Linked DNA regions of Arabidopsis thaliana. The protein of the gene in region 1 interacts with the protein of each later gene in a pairwise test. Each region holds a gene or a part of one and is shown on either strand. Other genes may lie near its edges.

Region 1 (8,392 bases):
ATAACATGCAAATATTAGGTCAGCCACTAGGAATAGAATAAGTTGAATAGTTTTTTACGATGATAAGAGTAAGCGGGAAGCCATAATAGACCACTATCCCAAAACTTTAATCTGCTTCCAACTCATTATGGGACCAACTAATACAAAATGATATGTATTCCATGTTCCAACCACTCCAATACGAATTACGAAGCAAGCGTGTCTCAGTGTCTGAGTGCGACTGCCTTCTCTCTATATATAAGAGATATACATAGTGAATTAAACATCTTAATTATACTGATCTTTATCATGTTGACTAGATTTAAGAAACAAAATAATAAGATGGTTAGGGCAAATATAGTGAGCATGGTTCTGTTGATGCATGCCATCGTTGGGTTTCCTTTTCATGCGAGGGGATTAAGTATGACTTACTACATGATGAGCTGTCCTTTCGCTGAACAGATTGTGAAGAACAGTGTTAACAATGCTCTTCAAGCCGATCCCACTTTAGCCGCTGGTCTTATCCGTATGTTGTTCCACGACTGTTTCATCGAGGTACTTAACGTTTTCTGTTTAATTAATTGTGTTTTTTTCGTAGAAAAACCCTTAAAATTAATGTGTAATTTTTGGTTCATAATAAGGGATGTGATGCGTCAATTCTGCTAGATTCAACGAAAGACAACACTGCGGAAAAGGATTCGCCTGCGAATCTGAGTCTACGTGGCTACGAGATCATCGATGATGCAAAGGAGAAAATCGAGAATAGATGTCCAGGAGTTGTATCATGCGCAGATATAGTTGCCATGGCTGCTAGAGATGCTGTCTTTTGGGTAATTTATTTGATCACGTTTTTGAATTACCTTTATGTGATTATAGTAAATATGATTAATTAGTGTACTTAACATAATTAGTAATTGAAATTGTTAGGCTGGTGGTCCATATTATGACATACCGAAAGGAAGGTTTGATGGTAAAAGATCAAAGATAGAAGATACAAGAAATCTACCTTCACCTTTTCTTAATGCCTCTCAACTCATTCAAACTTTTGGCCAACGTGGTTTCACTCCACAAGATGTTGTTGCTCTCTCTGGTCAGTTCTTTAAAGAACTAATATATGTGTATTGTGTGTGATAATCTAATTTGGTTTTAACTTAATAATTTGTGGGGATATATATATAGGAGCACATACCCTAGGAGTTGCACGATGCTCCTCCTTCAAGGCTAGACTTACCGTCCCAGACTCTTCATTAGACTCGACTTTTGCAAACACTCTCTCTAAAACATGCAGCGCGGGTGACAATGCAGAGCAACCCTTTGATGCTACGCGCAACGATTTCGACAATGCTTACTTCAATGCGCTTCAGATGAAATCAGGAGTCCTCTTTTCAGACCAAACTTTATTCAACACACCAAGGACCAGGAATCTTGTTAACGGCTATGCACTTAACCAAGCCAAGTTCTTCTTTGATTTCCAACAGGCCATGCGCAAGATGAGCAATCTTGATGTTAAACTTGGCTCTCAAGGTGAAGTCCGTCAAAATTGTCGGAGTATTAATTAGGCTAGACCACATCTACTTACGATTTTTGTATTTATAATAAGTTCTCTACTCTTGTTATATGAAGAATCATGAATCTTCTAGGCTACTATGTAAAAATTGTGTACTCTCGTAATATGCAGTTGTATACTTATTGCTTGTGTGGTTCAGATATCCATCAAAAAGTAATATACTTTGGTTGCATTTTCTTGTCCAATTGCTATTTAAAGGCAAAAGTCTCCTTTTCTTCTGAACAATCTCCGGATCTAGAAATCACATGATAACACAGAAACCGGTAAGAAAAGAAACCTGACGCACGGTGAAAAAGAATAATTGATGGGATACATATTTGTGAATCAAGTGCGCAACAATCCTCAAGTGGTGAGCTTAAGACATGTTTGGGTTTTAGCTTTCAACAACATTCAAATCCTTTTTCATCATATAACACTTACAAACCCAATCTGATCCTCATGTATTCACTTAAGAACCAATAATATGGAGCAGCAGAAGCTAAAACCCTCAATAAATACAGAGAAAAACAAAATACAGAAAAAACATTCGTGTTTCGAATCTTATCTTGGACCCGAGGGGTATTCGTTTTCGATCTGGGAAGTGGAATCGCCAATGATCCAGCCAGACACGGCTGGATGGTGGGTTGGGTAGTTGAAATCTTGTCTGAACATTTCCTCCTTTTGCCACTCTTCCCATCTCTCAGCTAAACCATCTCCTTCAAGCATTCTTACAACTTCAGACATTTTGGGTCTTTCCATTGGTGAACTCTGAGTGCAGAGTAAAGCCACTTGGATTAGCTGCTCCACTTCTTCGTCTTTGTAATTACCCTGAAGATCAACATCTACTAGTGCTTCCAATTTCTTCTCTTTTAACAACCCTTTCACCTGTCGAAATGAATAATTAACACAAATAGAGGTAACACAGATAATGAACTATACAAGTGGGAAACTCATATATGTATATACCCAGTCTAGTAACATGACATCATCATCATTCGCGAGGCGAGCAAGATCAAAAGCCCTTTGTCCAGTGATAAGCTCAAGAAGCATGACTCCATACCCAAAGACATCGGTTTTCTCTGATGATTTTCCAGTGGAAAGGTACTCAGGGGCTATATGACCAATTGTCCCACGCACTGCGGTTGTCACATGTGTGTCTTTGTAGTCCATGAGTTTTGCAAGTCCAAAATCCCCAACCACGGCTTCAAACTCTTCATCCAACAAAATATTTGCAGCTTTCACATCTCGATGAATAATCTTTGGGTCGCAATGATCATGTAAATACGCAAGCCCTCTTGCAGATCCCAACGCAATACGCTGTCTCTTTGGCCAATCAAGTGGTGGCTGGGACTCGGGACGTTCTAAGGAGAAAATAAAATATAAGATTACTACGGATAAAAAGGCAACCATTGGACGGAAATATTGCAGTCAAAGAAAAAGGCACAAGATGAGAGATACCTCTTAAACAGGAGGCAACACTTCCATTAGCCATGTAGGGATAAACAAGCAATCTTTCGGTTGGAGTCATGCAAAATCCACGAAGCCGAAGCAAGTTTCTGTGAACCGCCATACTAATCATCTCAACCTCTGTCTGGAACTGCAGTTCGCCACCTTGGGTGCGCTCCTCTTTTAGCCTTTTAACGGCCACTAAAGTACCATCAGCTAACCGTCCTTTATAAACTTTACCAAAACCACCTCTACCCAATATGTTCTTGTTGCTAAAATTATCCGAAGCAACTTGTAGTTCACGCAATGAAAACCTCTTCAGTTGTCCTAAATGAACTTCTGGGTCCTCTTCAGCTGCAAAAAGACGGTAATAAAAAAAAATCAGCAAGAGAAGTGTTAATGAGGAAACAGGTAAAGCAAGTTTAGCTAACCTGGTACATCAAAGAAGTGGTCCTGCGGCTTTTTCCTTCGCCACCAAGCTAGTGCAATGGCCGGAACAGCAAATAGAAGTGCAGCACCTGCAGCAACTCCTCCCGCAATCGCTCCAGTAATTCTATTACTCCCTGCAAGAATGAAATGAACAATCTCTTTCTTAATACTTAATGGATCTGCTTAAAATGTTTACTTATTCAGTTGAATAACATTTCAAAGACAAAGACATATACAAAAAAAAACCTGCAGGTGATGGCGGTGTAGGAGAGATAGGAGGCGGTGGAGATGCAGGAAGGGGAGTCAACTTGGTGTTGGCAAAACTGCAAAATTTCAAATAATTAATCAAACATTCTGACCTCTCCACCAAGATTTAAACTAGGAGCAGGATGCAAAACCTGATTGGAGTGAAAAGTGAAAAGGAACCATTAACAGGAATATCTCCGGTGAGAGGATTGTTTGAGAGATCCCTGCATTATAAGATGATATCATTTTCTGACTTAATGCCAAGATCGGCCAAACAATAATCAGAAACATGAACACAGAGGAATTTGAGAGAGATAAAGTTACACTCACAGAACTTGTAGCGTCAGGACAGCAGTCAAAGACCTTGGAATTTCTCCAGATAAGCTATTGTTATTAAGACGCCTAACCACCAATACAAAAAGAGAATGTCATGAATAAGTGGAAATACATTAACCAGTAATGAGTTTATAGTGAGAGCAAAAATACAAACTTTAAAAGACTTTCAAAAGTAGGGGTTGTTCTAAAATCTCATCCAACAGATATGAAGCTGATTGAAAAATCAAGTATATTTTCCTAATTAGCGCGACTTACTACTTTAGATGCGTTCACCCTCTAGATTTACAGAGCACTCACAAATTAATAAGTAACAATAGGGTTTAGCGCTTAAATTCTAAGGCAGAAGAATATTGTTATCTTTGATAGAATTTCATTCTTCCAGAACCAAATCGATTTCATACAAAATAAGCGAGTCAATAACTACCATTGAAGATCACAAAGGTGACACACGAGAACAACCAAAAAGACAGTCACCTGAATTCGGAACTTTGTGTTGTTCCAGTAAAATTAAGCGAACACAAGGATAGAGTTCTGATTCCTTTTACGAAAGCTCATAATTAAAATAGACCATATTATACAACATCCTAGTCTCCAAGAGAACACCTTTTCATCTAGTAAAATAACGTAGCATCTATTTGGCGACACTACTTTCTGACTCCTACAAATGTAACACGTTGCACGAATAGCTTTTACAGGAAGACAAACACGATCAAGGAAACTAAAGACAATAATTAGGCTGCTTATTAAAAACGTATTAAAAGAAGAGAGTAGAATATGGTGCATACAAGAAACGGAGTTTCTTAAGTCGGCCGAGAGTTGATGGAATAGGCCCGCTTAAATTGTTCAAGTAAAGATCCAAGCTCACCAATTCCGTCAGATTTCCAAGCTGTTCTGGGATTGTCCCAGTAATGTTATTGCTATAAAGCTCCCTGTCATTACCATTCTTTAATATTAATTTCACCATAAGATCGGAAAGATATATAACTAATAATCTATGATAATGCAAAATTATGCAGTTATTTGGAACATTGTAACATTTTTAACATCCCACATACACCAAAAGTTAAAAGACGGCCTTTTAAAGAAAAGATGACTTACAAGTACTGCAAGTTTGGAAGCTGACCAAGTTGCATTACGAGCTGTCCAGATAGATTTGCATTCCCAAGGTCACTGAGCAAAAATGAAGTTCAAGTAAATTCTCAGTAGATGCGAAAATCCGAATCATCTTGGCTAGATATAGAAAGAAACTTACACACGTGTAACACTATTGTCGCTATTGCAAGTAACATGAAACCATGTACATGGAGTAACAAGAGTAGCATCCCAACTTTGAAGCACCTTATTAGGGTCGGCTAAACTGTTTTTCAGTGCACTTAGAGCATCACCTACAATTAACCAAAGAAGAAGAAAAAATCAAACTTTGCAATCATCAAGTGTCACGAGGATACATAATCACTGGAATCAGTCGAAACAGATGTAACCCAAATATAACTCAAGTCAATACAGCAAAACAAGTAACAGATAAGTTAAAAATGCCTTCTTTAGGTGAGAACAAGCTCTCATAAGCCTATACTAATCAAAATACTCAACAAGGGAAACTAATTTAATTGGAAAGAATGAAAAATTGAAAGAGAATGAGAGAGAAAGGGGAAACCTTCGGCGTTGCCCGAGACTCTGAGAACCAAATCCAAAACGAGAATCAACCAAAAGAAGCAAGGGATCATTAATCTTCGTTCCATTTTATCCTCAAGAGATTAAAAACAAACCCTAGAACTATCCCTCATCAGAGAAAATCCATCATTGTTAAAACCCCTGATAAAAGGGATCTCGAATCCTTCGATTAAGCTACCACCCACACAAGGTAATACCAAGATGATGAAATTAGAAGCAGAATACGAGAAAAGCCCTCTCAACGCGTATCCACCCGTTGACTTAATTTGAAGAGAAAATCAAAATACCCAAATCGATTAATCGCGGAAACCAAAAAAGCAAAAAAAAAAGAAACTGAAGCTAGACTTTTCCGATTAGAAGGAACGCCGAGATCGCTGACCGTTGACTACTTAATGCTGAGAAGAGAGAAAACTGAGATAGAGAAAACGAAAGGAGGAAGAAGATATTTCCTGGAAATATACTAAAAAAGGGTCGAAACAAAGAGAGATGAGAGAGAGGAGAGAAACCAAGTTATCGCCGAGAGCAAGGAAGGAAGACGAATTTTAATTATTTTCTTTGCTTAAAGAAGGGATTTTACTGGGTTGAGTTGTTGTACTGTGAAAACTATATTAAAAAAATGACATTTAAGATTGAGAAAACGACAAAGAGGATGATGACGTGGACGAGCATTTTCAAAGCTTTTTTAGAGCTAGTCAAAGTCAAAGACGCACGACTTCATTCCGAATCATGTTTGTTATGTTCGCCCACCTTATCATCATCCATCATATGACATTAGATATAAACCATGATGGTCATGAACTCATGATAGTTGATAGTGAGTTATATACCATCATCATAATCCTAATTACCGGCCCAGCTCTATTTTTTCGGGCTTTTATTGTTTATTGGGCTTGGTCTTAATAGCAAGTTCGTTTATTCCAAAGATGAGCAAAAGCTTTTTTGATTTTTTTATTCTTTTTTAAAGATTATAGCTCTAAAAAATTACAATTCAATATTGAAAAATGTAAGCTGAATAATCCATCTGGTCCAATGAATTAAACAAAACAAAAAACATTATTGTATCATATATAATTTACTGGTTGATAGTTTAACTATTTATGCCATTTAATATTTTTAAAAGAACAAAAGTAATTTTGAGGAAAAATGAAATAAAAAACAAAAAACACAAACGGACAGAGTATATGTTGCCAGCAATAAAATACGGACATATACCTTAGTTTGGCATTAAAAAACAAAACAAAAACACAACAAACAACTCAGTACAGTAGGCTATTTAAAGGCCCATCAGATTAAGACTTGGAAGTCTGACGAGATTGTAACGCCTCACAATCCTTCCTACCCGTGAGTCCGTGACCGATTGTGTATCATCCATCTTCTTTCTTCTTCTTTCTTCTTCTTTCTTCTTCTTTTATATATAAACCAAAATATAATTCGTGAAGACTTTCACTTTCTCCTTGCCACTTTTTGACGATTCACATGCACCATCCAATATTTTAGTGCCCTTTTCACGACATATCTGTGTCTGTATCCAATTTTCTTATTTACTACTACTTTTTTCTATTTATATATACAAAAATAATCAAAGAGAGAGACGAATTTTCGAGGTAAGGTATCTATCGACTTTCTATCTTCCTCCACCTTTGTTTGTTGTCACCACCACACTACGCTAATCATTGCCACACACATGCATAATTCTCTCCAACCATCTAAAAGTCCCACTTTAGCATTCTTCTGTTTGTAATTTTATCTCAGAGCTTGCTTCATGGGCTTTTGAGTTTTCTCTCTGTTTCCAAAAAACAATGGAACCGGAGAAGAATCCGACCACAGTATTGAGTGCCATTACAAGACCTTCGTGGGCGTTTCTTCTCCTTGTTTTCACCGTCTTAGCGATTCTCTCTCTCCAAATCTCTTCCAATTCTTTTCTCCCTCTCTGGATCCCGACTTCTCAATATGACGACCCTGTTACCTGCTCCGGGTTTTTCAATCACGACCCGTTCCCTAACCGGATCGTTATGTCGATTACCGATTTCGGCGGTGTTGGAGACGGAAAGACGTCGAACACGGCCGCTTTCCGCCGCGCCGTAAGGCACCTTGAAGGTTTTGCGGCGGAGGGTGGGGCCCAGCTCAATGTCCCGGAGGGCACGTGGCTTTCTGGAAGCTTCAACCTCACCAGCAATTTCACGCTCTTTCTCGAACGCGGCGCTCTCATTTTGGGATCCAAGGTTATATCAAAGTTTTGAATTCTTTAACACATTGATAAAGTTTACTTTTTTTTTGCTTTGTTTGTTGTTGATTGGTTCTGAACAGTAGTAGTATTAAGAGAATTCAATTAGTTGTTGATTGCTCTGTGAGAATCCAAAATTTGGGTTTGTGATTGCTTTTTGATTTGTGGGTTCATAAAGTTTTGTTGGTAAACACTATATTCATTTCGCTAATCACGGTCAGTGGTTAAAATGGACCCACCATTGTTTGATACAGCAAAAAAGCTGTTATTTTTGAGTGGGGATAGTCTCTAGTAGTGCGAAATCTGGATTTGCATATCAAAAGTCAGTGTTTTGCATGAATTTTGTATTAACACTTGTTAATTTCGGATTGACTTGTTCAATGAATGTTCTTGTGATGTCTCGATAGTAGCTGTAACAAAAAAAAAGTCAAGTGGAAGAAACCATTTTTATATGATCATATTCCAAGAAAGGAGTTAGATGTATAGACAACTTTTGTCTGAAGCATGTTCATGTA
Region 2 (6,674 bases), on another chromosome or scaffold:
ACAAGAATCTACAGAAGAAAGTTCTCGAATCTGTGACTGAGGTCAGTGACATCGACGCCATCATTGAGCAAGCTGAGGAGGCAGAGCGTCTTTACACCATTAATCACAGCTCCTCCACACCTTTGTCTATCAATCTGTATGCTTCTCTTCTTCTAAATTCCTCTTTTTTATTGTCCTTTGATTGATTAGGTATTTGTGGTTCTGTTTGTATAAATTTAATATGGTAATGAGATTAAAGAACAATTACATGTCCTCTTGATGTTCTTATGGTGTGCTGTTTCTCTAATGTTTTTGGTGAAACAGAGACACAAATTCTAGCTCAAGTGTTATAGCAGCTGAAGAATGGAGAGAGCAACAGAAGATAGAGGAGGCTTTACACGCCAGTAGTCTTCAAGTACCTCGAAGGTATGTGGTTTTTATTCTCTTTAGCTTTATTCTTCCTTTCTATCATAGCTCTAAGACAACGTTTTTTTTTGTCTATCTTCATCTCCAGACCTCCGTGGACACCTGAAATGTCAGTGGAAGAACTTGATGCTAATGAAAAACAAGCTTTTCTAAATTGGCGCCGGATGCTTGTGAGGTTAGCTTTTTTTGTTCTACCCCATCTTAATTTTACTTCTTCGGTGTGTTATAAACAAATCAATATCTGTCACCAAATTGTTTGTTGGTGATGATAAAATTTAGGCAGCTTCTGTCACATAGTTTTGTTCAAATGGTAAAAGCTGATGCTGTAGTTGATAAAATGCATGTATTTTGAGCAAATATTCTACCTTTGTATCGTACTGAGAAGGTCGAAATGGGATAAGCTGAGAAGATCTCATTCTTGTATCCATTTCCCAGTTTTGTTGTGGAAACTGAAAATCTCAGTTTTGTTGTTATTGGTATAATGTGCTGTGTATAAGTTTATCTCATGTAGGATAGTGTTTGCTAAAGCCGGAACTTTTATAGAATCGAGTTGTGTTCAAGATATCTTTCGTATATAAACCAAACTAGAGTTTATAGATGTTTGACCCTAATCAATCTTTTGGATTGGGAAGTTTATAGGTGTTACGCATGCTTACATGTTCTCCTGTATTTTGGTTTAGCCTTGAGGAAAATGAAAAGCTAGTGTTGACTCCATTCGAAAAGAACCTTGACATCTGGAGACAGCTTTGGAGAGTGCTTGAACGCAGTGATTTGGTAAGTCTTTGTCAATAATGTATTAACCTTCTCAATAAGTTCAATTTCTGCGTTTTAGTTAATTGCAAAACAGTTTTGATTACTTATACTTGTCCTTTTTTCAGATTGTTATGGTAGTTGATGCTAGAGATCCACTGTTTTACCGCTGCCCTGATCTTGAGGTAATGCATTTTCTCCCAGCTTGAAACTCCACTTGGCACCGTATTCCTGATTCATATTTACTTGAAGATTCATCGTGACACAGGCATATGCTCAAGAAATTGATGAGCATAAAAAAATAATGCTTCTAGTGAACAAGGCGGATCTTTTACCTACTGATGTCAGGTTAGCCAATCCTCTTGTGCCTTAATACTTTGCCTCCAACCTTTTTTGTATTCTAACCGATTGGTTTAACTTTTGACTTGTAGGGAGAAATGGGCAGAATATTTCCGCCTTAACAACATTCTGTTTGTTTTCTGGTCAGCCATAGCTGCTACAGCTACCCTAGAAGGTAAAGTCTTGAAAGAGCAATGGAGACAACCCGATAACTTGCAGAAGACAGATGATCCAGACATTATGATATATGGCAGAGACGAGCTGTTGAGTCGTTTGCAATTTGAGGCTCAAGAGATTGTCAAAGTAAGGAATTCTAGAGCAGCATCCGTATCATCACAGTCATGGACTGGTGAATATCAACGTGATCAAGCCGTGGTTGGATTTGTTGGGTACCCAAATGTTGGAAAGAGTTCTACAATCAATGCATTGGTGGGTCAGAAGCGAACAGGTGTCACCTCTACCCCAGGAAAAACAAAGCATTTCCAGACTTTGATCATCTCTGATGAGCTTATGCTATGCGATTGCCCTGGTTTAGTCTTCCCTTCGTTCTCAAGCTCAAGATATGAAATGATTGCTTCTGGTGTACTTCCGATTGACCGGATGACGGAGCACCGTGAAGCTATTCAGGTGGTGGCTGACAAGGTCCCTCGCCGTGTAATTGAGAGTGTGTACAACATTTCTCTTCCTAAACCCAAAACCTATGAGCGTCAGTCCCGCCCGCCTCATGCTGCAGAGCTCTTAAAAAGTTACTGTGCTTCTCGTGGCTATGTTGCCTCGAGTGGACTACCGGATGAAACGAAAGCTGCAAGGCTGATTCTGAAAGATTACATTGGAGGTAAGCTGCCACATTATGCAATGCCACCTGGAATGCCCCAAGCTGATGAACCGGACATAGAAGACACTCAAGAACTGGAGGATATTCTCGAAGGTTCAGAGTCCGATGACTCTGCAGTAGGAGATGAGACAGAAAACGAGCAAGTTCCTGGTATTGATGATGTGCTAGATGATCTGAGCTCGTTTGATCTTGCCAATGGGCTTAAGTCTTCAAAGAAAGTGACAGCAAAGAAGCAAACCGCGTCACATAAACAGCACAAAAAGCCACAGAGGAAAAAGGATCGGACTTGGAGGGTTCAAAACACAGAAGATGGAGATGGAATGCCTTCTGTTAAAGTTTTCCAGAAACCAGCTAACACAGGTCCTCTTACGATGCGGTGATTATCAAATTGTAGTCCATCCAAGCAAAGATGGCAACCGAAGCTACTTAAAGTTTTTTTTTTTTTTTCAAAAAATGTAACAGCAGTTGAACCTGTCGCAGTAGTTCTCGAGTGTCTTGATGTTTTTGTTTTTATGATTAAAGTCTTATTTTGGGGAAAAGTAGAAAAAAGTGACAACTCAAATCTGGTGGAAAATGGAGAATTGTTTTTGCCAGTTGGAGATACCTATCGCTTTGTTTTGAGAATATAATAGCCATAAATAGAGTTTTCATGTAACTTTAAACTTTTTTCTTATTTGGGGTTTGGACTCTTTTGAACAATAAATAGTGATAATGAAACTTTAAAGTTTAAACATTTCAATAACCAATTCTTGTTGCTAAATATGTCATTACCAAATCGATATAAAACCAAAGTAAATAGAAATGTTATAGTGATTTCGGTTCGTACGTTTGGCAATGAGTTGGTTCGTGTCTCTCGTTCCATTGGCGTCCTTGAGGGTTAAGACTGATTAGGCTTTGTTGTACTTATGGAGAGAGGAGAGAGAAACTTGAGATAAACAAAAAAAAAAAATTGGTTTTTCCTAAATGTGTGAATGTCTGCTTGCTGCATCGTTTTATTAATTTCCCTGGAAAATAACTGTTTCTGTTTGTTGTAAACAAGCCTCGAGGATCTGACCGGTGAATGAAAGAAAACTAGGGTTTCGATTTTACCGGAATATTCTCCGAGAGAGCGGCAAGTTTAACATCAGATATGTTGTTGATCACAGATTCGCTTTTCTGCGAATTTTAGCTGGATCGGTCTTTCTTTAGTTAGTTTTTTTTTTTTGTTTTCCCACTTTTGAAGCTTTTTGATAATGGATGAAGATTCGTCTATGGTGGCTGACAACGATCAGGATCGTGAGTTTCAGAGCCTTGATGGAGGCCAATCTCCTTCGCCTATGGAAAGAGAAACGCCTCAGCAGATGAACGACCAATCACCTCCTCCTGAAGGCGGATCGGTGCCTACGCCGCCGCCTTCGGATCCTAATCCGGCAACTTCTCAGCAGCAAGCGGCTGCGGTTGTTGGACAAGAGCAGCAGCCGGCGCTAGTTGTTGGTCCGAGGTGTGCACCTACGTATTCGGTGGTGGATGCTATGATGGATAAAAAAGAGGATGGGCCTGGCCCTAGGTGTGGTCACACCTTGACGGCTGTGCCTGCTGTTGGTGATGAAGGAACGCCTGGTTATATTGGTCCTCGTCTTGTATTGTTTGGTGGTGCGACGGCTCTTGAGGGAAATTCTGGTGGCACCGGAACTCCTACTTCAGCTGGAAGTGCCGGCATTCGTACGTTTTCCTTCTCTGCTTGTTAAATAGTTTTAAGTATCACCGCTCTACATTTTCCTTCTCCTTTGCCTAACTATTGTGAAGTTGTAGTTTGCCTTCCTTGCTTTGAAGGTTCTCTCCTGAACGATTGAAAAAGTTAACTCTTTTCTTATGGCTTAATTATTCTGATAGAGGGCCCTTGCCAAGCCTTGAACTTTTAAAGATTTACCTATTTCAAAGATATACGCTGGTTATTTGCTTGCAATCTTGTGAGATCGTCTAAGTTTGGAAACTTTAGTTCTGAAAGCTTCACATCTGTTAAATTTAACTGGCAATCTGAGGTGGCAGTGTTTCCTCAACATTTATTGCATCCTATTTCATTTGGAATCGGTAGAGCAAAGAGCTTGATGTAGTACCAGGGCACAGTATTGGCTGTGGAATGTTAGATCACTAATTCCGTTTATTTGCTGATAGATTCTATGTTCTAGTTCTTGTTATTTCTTAAGGTTCCTAGATTTATCTGGTTGTATTAATTAATTTGGGTGTTCTTTTCTCTGCAGGGCTAGCTGGGGCAACTGCTGATGTTCATTGTTATGATGTACTTTCTAATAAGTGGACTAGGTGAGCATTAAATGTGAATGTCTTTGGGTTTTCACGCTAATTATGAAAAATGCATGAGATCCTACCCCGTTTAAAAGTGTGGATACCAGTTAATTAAATGAATTGAGGCTACAGGCTTACACCTTTTGGAGAACCACCAACCCCGAGGGCCGCACATGTTGCAACTGCAGTCGGGACCATGGTAGTTATTCAGGTAGGGGAGAAATGATGTTTTTATATTATGTGTATGATTTAAGTTTATCAATGTAAGATGAGCATTTCCAGTCAGCTATGAAAGTGCTTATAAATTCTTTCTGTTGTACAGGGTGGAATTGGTCCTGCTGGTTTATCGGCTGAAGACCTTCATGTTCTTGATCTCACTCAACAACGGCCACGATGGCACAGGTTTGAAAATATGCCTGCCACTATCTCGGTTGAAAATTCATTTTACTAGTTCGTGTCTTGATATTGATTATGTCTCTATCCAGGGTTGTTGTTCAGGGTCCTGGACCAGGACCTCGTTATGGACATGTCATGGCACTCGTGGGGCAAAGGTATCTCATGGCAATTGGTGGAAATGATGGTAAGCAGTTTTCCATATTGGCTTATTCTCAGTGTTTTATGTAAGGGTATCATATTCTCATTAAAGCTTCACCCTTCTGAACTCCATTCGAACTACTAGGAAAACGTCCACTTGCTGATGTATGGGCCTTGGATACTGCCGCCAAGCCTTATGAATGGCGTAAGTTGGAACCAGAAGGGGAAGGTCCACCTCCCTGCATGTAAGTTTGATTAGACTCCTTTATGATTGTGAGCTTTCTGGAGTAATTGTTTATATCTGTTTGTACGTTGTAACTAGGTATGCAACTGCAAGTGCGCGCTCCGATGGTCTTCTTCTCCTCTGTGGTGGAAGGGATGCAAACAGTGTGGTAAGTGAAGAGATTTATTACAGTCATACCCAATTATCTCTTTGAAACAAACACTGAGCCACTTATAGAGGCATGATTCTATTTTGGCTTTTGCTTTTAGTGTGAGATAAAAATGGGACCGTGAGATTTAGTCAATTAATTTATAGAGGTTGAGTTTTGTCACTGAGCAAATTGAAAAGTATTTTATTTCCCCAGCTACAAATTTATTAATGGTCCAATGAACGATCTTCATTCTATGTTCCAGAGCAGATGGAGATGTAACTCTTCTCTGCTAGGTAAATTAATCAAGAGTTTGTGTGTGTTTCAACACAGACTCTGAAGAAGTAACAAACATAAATTGTGTGCAAGACCTCGTGAAGCTTCTACGAGAAAAGGAACTATAATTTCTTTTGTCAACAAGGAATGAGCTTATTATCAATTATGTGTTTATACATGATCATGAGAAGTTGTCAATTCTGCGTAAAGTGAAATATGAAACTTAATGGACTGCTTTAATCTTGAATGGTTGATTGAGGAGCTTAATTTTTTTCTACGTTTGAATTGATAGCCTCTGGCCAGTGCATATGGACTTGCGAAGCACAGAGATGGACGTTGGGAATGGGCCATAGCCCCTGGTGTCTCACCATCTTCCAGATATCAGCATGCAGCAGTATGGATGCTTCTTCCTCTTTGGTTCTCTTTTCTGTCCTCATCAGAATTATTAAATTCTTTGGTTAATTATTTAGGTCTTTGTAAATGCAAGACTTCATGTGTCCGGTGGGGCACTTGGTGGTGGACGCATGGTTGAAGACTCATCCAGTGTTGCAGGTTAGCAAATGAAAAGAGGCAGTCTGATGTTTGTGCTGTTGGATTATCATTGAGGAAATACTTGAGTTTCCATATAATTTCTGCACCACTTTTAGTCTTCTGTTGGCCATTGTTGAAATGTGTCTCATGTATAGACGATAGTTGTATATTTTGGTTTTGTACTAAAATGTGCATTGAGTTCATCTACAATTCTCTGATTATTTCATCTATTGTCTTTGTACAGTATTGGATACTGCAGCAGGTGTATGGTGTGATACAAAATCAGTTGTTACTAGTCCTAGAACTGGTAGGTATAGTGCCGATGCAGCTGGTGGCGATGCTTCGGTTGA
Region 3 (6,249 bases), on another chromosome or scaffold:
TTGAACTTAGAAATGCTTTAATTAAACATTTGTGGTCGCAATATACTAATTCTGAGAATTAGTACGATGTAATTTATTTTTATTATGTTTGGTTTATCGATTGTAATATTATATTAATTAATGAAGAATAAAATAATATGTTGTGTTTAATTAAATAATATGTTGTGTTTCTTTATTTTGTATTAAATTTGTTTAATGTAATAATTTGTTGTCTAACATTTGTTTCAATATTATTAAGTATTTTTAAAGTATTCATATTTTAGGTTAATAATATAATAATAGAGAATAGTATTTTTAGTGTGACTTTTGGTGTTGTGGTTGGAGATGAAAAAGAATTTAGTGTGAAAATCACACCAAATATAGTGTTATTCTAACACAATTTTAGTGTTGTGGTTGGAGATGCCCTTAGAAGAGATACTCTCAAGACTTCCATTGAAGTCTACGAGAGCAGTGAGATCGACTTGCAAAAAGTGGGACTCTTTATTCAAAAATCGGAGCTTTATTAGTAAAGCAGCAGCAGCAAGAGAAGGAGAGTCTCAGATGGTCGTGTTGATGGATCACAATCTTCATTTAGTGAGCTTCTTCTTCGGCAGTGATACTTCTGTAGAGATTAAAGGTAAACGTATTTGTCTAAACGACGATTCAGATTCAGAACAAGTCAAGATATCTCAAGTTTTTCACTGTGAGGGTTTGTTGTTATGTATCTTGAAAGATGATAACTTTAGTCTTGTTGTTTGGAACCCGTATTGGGGACAAACAAGGTGGATCAAACCCAGATGTTCTTTCGAAATACCCCAGGGATGTGACATGTACAGGTACGCTATTGGATACGACAACAAGAGACGCAACCACAAGATCTTGAGGTTTATAGATTATGAATTCCATTACCCTCGAGACAACGTTGTTTTGTGGTATGAAATCTATGATTTTGAGTCTGATTTATGGACGACTCTTGATGTTACTACTCCACATTGGTTGATAAATTGTGGTAACCGTGGTGTTACTCTCAAGGGAAACACTTACTGGTGTGCTAAAAAAAGGAACTCTGACCTTTTTCTCAATGCTGATCATATAATCTGTTTTGATTTCACAAGTGAGAGGTTTGGTCCGCTTCTGCTTTTGCCGTTTAGTGATTTGGATGGTGTTGTTACTCTAGCTTGTGTTAGAGAGGAGAAGCTTGCGGCTTTAGTTTGTCACGAGGATGTTGTTGAGGTTTGGATTACGATTAAGATTGAGGCCAATGAGGTATTGTGGAGCAAGTTCTTGACAGTGAATGTTGATTTGGGTGATGAGATTCCGAGTTCACTGACATATGGTAGTTTTTTCATCGACGAGGAGAAGAAAGTTGCTATGATTTTTGATAAAACTTTGGATCGCGGCGACACAGTTCACATCATGGGAGAGGCTGGATATGGTGGACAAGTTGATCTCGGAGAACCGGTTAATAAAAGACGTTGCCCACTTGTGTGCTCTTATGTTCCGAGTTTAGTGCAAATCAAGAAACCTGCAGGATTCCAAAGGAAACAGCAAAGCAAGTTAGAAAAGCGTCAATATGTTCGAAACATATCGAAACTTCGCGCACTTAAAACCCAAAGTTCTTGGACATTAAGTATGTCACTTGAATGTCATCAACAGTAAGATTTATGTTTCTTGGCTCGTACTTCGATTTATTACTGCTATGTTTTAGACTGATACTTTACTAAATATTACATGGCTTCATCAGGAGCTTGGTAGAGTGAGAAAGCATTGCCAGCCGATTTTTGCCCGTATAGCTCCGTCTCAGTTTGTTTCGGGCCATTGTTGAAAGGACTTCCTGTGCGCTTTTTTGTCGATCAATAGTTTAGACCGCTCTTTTTTGTTGCCACTTTCTTGCTTAGGGGAGTCTTTAGATCGAGTTTTCTTCATCTTCTTACTAAGAGCCTCATCGCTTAAGGTTTAGTTGATGCGATGAATCTCGAAAGGATTATGCTTCCATGTTTTTTTCCTTTTTTTGGCATGGGACCATGTTTGTAGGTTTTGCTTCTTGTAACTCCTAAACTTTCATTTTATATGATATTTACATTCTTATCAAAAAAAAAAATATATATATTACATGGCTTCATGCTAAAGGACATGATATTAATCAGATTTTTAAAATTTAAAGATGGTGGAACCTCAGGTTTTCGATAATATAATTTAGAGATAGCTTCTGTTATCTGGCCTAGTCTCTACAAAGTTTTTAAAACCGAACCAGCGACTCGACTAGATGGCATTGTCGATATATCTATCTAGCAGAATTTCAGTAGCAGAGTCTTTTTAGTGAGAGGGTCAGGTGCATTATCAGTCCTTGGAAACATCAAAGACAAGAGCAAGTTGTTCATGCTCAAACTAAAAGATTACCATCCACCATTTTGGGATATATATTCAACTTCTTACTCTTTGACATCTTGGAAGTCTTCCACATCCTCTTCTTCTTAGGTCGTTATCTTCATAAACATCTTCTTCAGTCAAATCTGCCTCACCTTCTGAGTAGCAAATATTTTAAACCAGACCATTTGTACTTCTGACTATTCTTCTGTCCGATATGTATCTCTTTAGAAGATCTTGGTGCATAATGGCCTAATGGGGATCATCATTAATTAGGAAATAAAAATCAATTCTTATATGTGCTGAGAAAAAAAAAAAAAAGCTTTGAAGTTAAAACTAGAAATAATAAAACATATTGGATTAAAGATAATTAATGTGGATCCATGGAATGATCGATCATGACGAGAAATAAAATATTATGGGGAATATATAAAGAAAGAAAAATGTGCAAGATGATTAGTATGAAAATAACATTCCCTTAGTTTCACAATATAAGTGTTTTGGAGAAATTTTTGTTTCGAATGTTTTCAAAATTTTATGCAAATTATAGATTTTTTTATTTTTATAATTATATATATATATTATATGGTCTATTTTATGATTGGTTAACTTTTTAAAAAAATAAACATGAGTTATTGAGGTTTCAAGAAGAAAGTTTTATGTTTATGGCCATCAAGACTGAAATAATGTTTTGTTTTTCTTATTTCCGTCGACTTTCGTCTTTTTCAAAATCGCAACTTTTATATATATTTTTTTCTCTCGCCTTTCGATCATCGGAAAAGCTCTTTTTCAAGTCTCCCCAACTCATAACTTTGAATTTTCTATTTGCCCCCTCATAAAATTTGCTTCTATTCTCTTTGTTTGTTGGAGTTCTCAAGATCTGTTTGATTCTGAATCCTTGTAATTTTTGTATCCAACCAGTAACAAATGGGGTTTTGTGAAGGTTTATGAGTTTCCCATATTCAAATGGCGATCTTTTAGTCTGAGTAAAATTGTGGTTCTTATCTGTTTTTGTTAAAGTTTCGATTTTTATTTTGAGGGTTGAATTCGAGAAATTTTGATGGAAGCGGGTAGCTCCAATTCGTCGGGTCAGCTATCCGGGCGGGTCGTTGATACAAGAGGCAAACACAGGATTCAAGCTGAACTCAAAAGGCTTGAACAAGAAGCTCGATTCTTAGAGGTATTTTACTCTCCTCTTAATCTTAAACCCTTTCTTGTTTCGACGTGCTTGGGCCTTTTGGCTGATTATATCATATAATTACAGATTGGATCAATCTGTTGTTTTTGTGCTTCGGCTCTTTTTGGATGGAATAGTATAAATCTGAGTGGAGTACGGTAGAGACTTTCAAAGTTTGAAACTTTTTTAGTTTTGGGAATCAATTTGATTTAGGGGTTTTTGTTGTTGTTGGTATTCAATGAGTGAAAAAAAAAAAACAGGTTTTGTTGTAGCAGTTGGTATTGTGGGGTTGCTTTTAGTGAGTTAATAGTACTTGTCTCTTGATATAGTTCCTTTTTATATGCTTAACAAGATTGGATCTTAGATTAATGGAATCGATCTGACTTTAAGAAATGTAGTGTAGAACTGTCTCCTTTTAAAGAGATTTTTGTGATGCTAAATGTTACTTGAGTGAGAGAGTAGATCCTTTGCGAACAATATGCTTCTGTTGATAAAACAAATCACCAGGGTCAGTAATTAGGAAGGTTCAAGAATGGTGAGGAGTGAAACTGAAATGTAGTTTAAGCTCTTGAGCATATTTCATTCAGGTGTAATAATATCTTGACTCTTGATCCCTTGAGGTTTAAGCTCTTGTCTACGTAGCTGTTATGACATTTGTGAACTCAAATGCTTGCTTAAAAGCGTTACAAGGTTTTAACTTTCTTCCTTCATTTATTATATTCAGGAAGAGCTGGAGCAGCTTGAGAAGATGGACAATGCATCAGCATCCTGCAAAGAGTAAGAACTTGTTACATAACTGATATCCGGTTCACGAATAATCATTCCACAAGCTTGACTAGTTTCTCGAATGGATGCAGGTTCTTAGACAGTGTTGACAGCAAACCCGATCCTCTTCTTCCCGAGTAATTCTTCTTCTGTTTTCTGATAGTTTCATTTCAATAGACTGTGAGATGATTAGGTCTGATATGTTTGCTTTTGTGACTACTTGCAGAACAACAGGTCCGGTGAATGCGACATGGGATCAATGGTTCGAAGGCCCTAAAGAAGCAAAACGATGTGGCTGCTCCATTCTTTGATCTTCCTTTCCTTCTCTCAAAATATTTTTGTCTCTACTTCTTCCAGAAGAGTGAGTTTGTGTTTTTACGTTCCCGCGGCAGTGAATTTGATGTAATTGGCAAAAAAAAAAATTGATTCATTTGTGCAGTAAAAAATCTATTGATCTTGATGTGTCTCTTAATTTAAGAAGACCACAGTGCCAAATTCACGCCACCACAAGAAAATCTAGCACAGTGGCCGTCGGTGATCCCCACACCAATGCATCTCAGTTCCAGATTGTCTTGGAAAAGTTCTCGTTTCTCGATGGTTTACATGTCGTGTTCGGGCAAGTTGTTGAAGGACTCGACGTGCTCAGGAGCATTGAAGACGAGGTTGGAACTTTGAACAGGATTCCTTCCAAGCCGGTGGTTATCGCAGACTGTGGTGAGCTCTGAGAGAGGCTACAATGGTGTCTTGTCTTGTTTTAATGGTTGCTCTGTTTTTGTTTTTAGTTCGTTTGGATTTTGAGTTTGGTGGTAGTTTTAAATCTGAAACAAAACAAGATTTTTTTCTTCCATATATGAAAATTCTGGACACAGTTTCAATGAGAGCAACCAAAATAGTTGAAGCTTGTTACATAAAAGTCAAGAGGATACAATGTTAAAGAACATATGAAGGAGACAAAAGAAACAAAGAAGAATAGTACGTACTCTCTCTGATTCAGTTCTGGTTTCCCCTTAACTCGTGGCTTTACCGGTAACTTTTTGGGCAATCCAACCGAGCCCATCATACAATCCTTCTCCAGTAACCGCACAACTTGCTTGAATATGCCAATCATGGTTCTTGATACTGTGAAGGTTAAGTGCATCCGTGATCTCAGCAGGAGTCATTGCGTCTTTCAGATCCTGTTTGTTTGCAAAAACTAGTATGACCGAGTTTTGAAGATCCTCATGACCAAGTAACCTGGCTAGCTCATCTTTCATGAAAGAGATTCTGGCTCTGTCTGTGCTATCTATAACCACAATCACAGCATGTGTTCCACGATAGTATGTTGCCCATGAAGTTCTTAGCCTATCTTGCCCACCAAGATCCCATACCTAAAGACAACATATCATAAAAGTAAACATCGCCTCAAATATTCGATTGCCAGTGTCCAACAGTTAGTTTTTGACAGGAAACAATTCAAACTTTAGTAAGTTTAGTTACGTTTATATTCATCATTGAGTTTTGACATATAAGAACACATGCAGATTGTCATAAAACAGAGATGAATTCATCTCAGGCCATGACTTTGACCACTGTATAAAGATGTTCCAAACAGTCCTCTGGCAAAAAAACTAAGCTAATGGGAAATAGCAAACAGTTCCTCCGGTATAACAAACAAGCTAGATAAACAACATCTACAAAAATTTACTATACAAAACCATAAATCGCACATACGAAAACGTTCATTATGAGTTTCTGACACCTTCTCAACCAATCATGACAAGAACTTAGACAAAAACATCATCCATTTTTCAACGAGAAAAATGCACACACCCAAGCAAGAAACATAGCTAGGGACAATAACACAATCAAAAGATGGCAATGGCAAATTTAAGAAACATCCATAAAGTTTCAAACTTCTAAAACACGTCCCTAGATAAGAAGCTAAGAAACAACTTCACCCAAATGAATAAAGAAAGAGTCCA

Evidence for each region. Proteins that work in one complex are often made in the same cells at the same time.
Region 2: the proteins of BAK1 (region 1) and BSL2 come close enough for resonance energy transfer, tested with the Arabidopsis thaliana proteins (one study listed by BioGRID).
Region 3: the proteins of BAK1 (region 1) and AGG2 interact in a two-hybrid assay, tested with the Arabidopsis thaliana proteins (one study listed by BioGRID).

What each region holds. Positions count from the first base shown.
Region 1 is NC_003075.7:16,084,568-16,092,959, forward strand, and holds BAK1 (BRI1-associated receptor kinase), read right to left. Parts: upstream 6,211-8,392; 5' UTR 5,722-6,210; coding exon 5,637-5,721; intron 5,368-5,636; coding exon 5,235-5,367; intron 5,153-5,234; coding exon 5,081-5,152; intron 4,912-5,080; coding exon 4,768-4,911; intron 4,641-4,767; coding exon 4,500-4,640; intron 4,049-4,499; coding exon 3,977-4,048; intron 3,871-3,976; coding exon 3,799-3,870; intron 3,724-3,798; coding exon 3,647-3,723; intron 3,535-3,646; coding exon 3,403-3,534; intron 3,326-3,402; coding exon 2,984-3,325; intron 2,887-2,983; coding exon 2,492-2,886; intron 2,411-2,491; coding exon 2,087-2,410; 3' UTR 1,744-2,086; downstream 1-1,743. Other genes in the region: AT4G33420 (Peroxidase superfamily protein), read left to right, coding at 148-534, 621-809, 907-1,069, 1,159-1,538; AT4G33440 (Pectin lyase-like superfamily protein), read left to right, coding at 7,453-7,875.
Region 2 is NC_003070.9:2,646,398-2,653,071, forward strand, and holds the start of BSL2 (BRI1 suppressor 1 (BSU1)-like 2), read left to right. Parts: upstream 1-3,061; 5' UTR 3,062-3,561; coding exon 3,562-4,030; intron 4,031-4,569; coding exon 4,570-4,630; intron 4,631-4,744; coding exon 4,745-4,823; intron 4,824-4,934; coding exon 4,935-5,014; intron 5,015-5,097; coding exon 5,098-5,192; intron 5,193-5,291; coding exon 5,292-5,391; intron 5,392-5,468; coding exon 5,469-5,538; intron 5,539-6,085; coding exon 6,086-6,187; intron 6,188-6,263; coding exon 6,264-6,345; intron 6,346-6,568; coding exon 6,569-6,674. Other genes in the region: AT1G08410 (P-loop containing nucleoside triphosphate hydrolases superfamily protein), read left to right, coding at 1-136, 304-405, 494-580, 1,086-1,179, 1,284-1,340, 1,424-1,503, 1,587-2,709. UniProt on the Arabidopsis thaliana protein: Phosphatase involved in elongation process, probably by acting as a regulator of brassinolide signaling.
Region 3 is NC_003074.8:8,131,069-8,137,317, forward strand, and holds AGG2 (G-protein gamma subunit 2), read left to right. Parts: upstream 1-3,008; 5' UTR 3,009-3,406; coding exon 3,407-3,526; intron 3,527-4,247; coding exon 4,248-4,300; intron 4,301-4,380; coding exon 4,381-4,425; intron 4,426-4,514; coding exon 4,515-4,599; 3' UTR 4,600-5,136; downstream 5,137-6,249. Other genes in the region: AT3G22935 (uncharacterized protein), read left to right, coding at 1-62; AT3G22940 (F-box associated ubiquitination effector family protein), read left to right, coding at 400-1,638; ARFC1 (ADP-ribosylation factor C1), read right to left, coding at 5,296-5,655. UniProt on the Arabidopsis thaliana protein: Guanine nucleotide-binding proteins (G proteins) are involved as a modulator or transducer in various transmembrane signaling systems.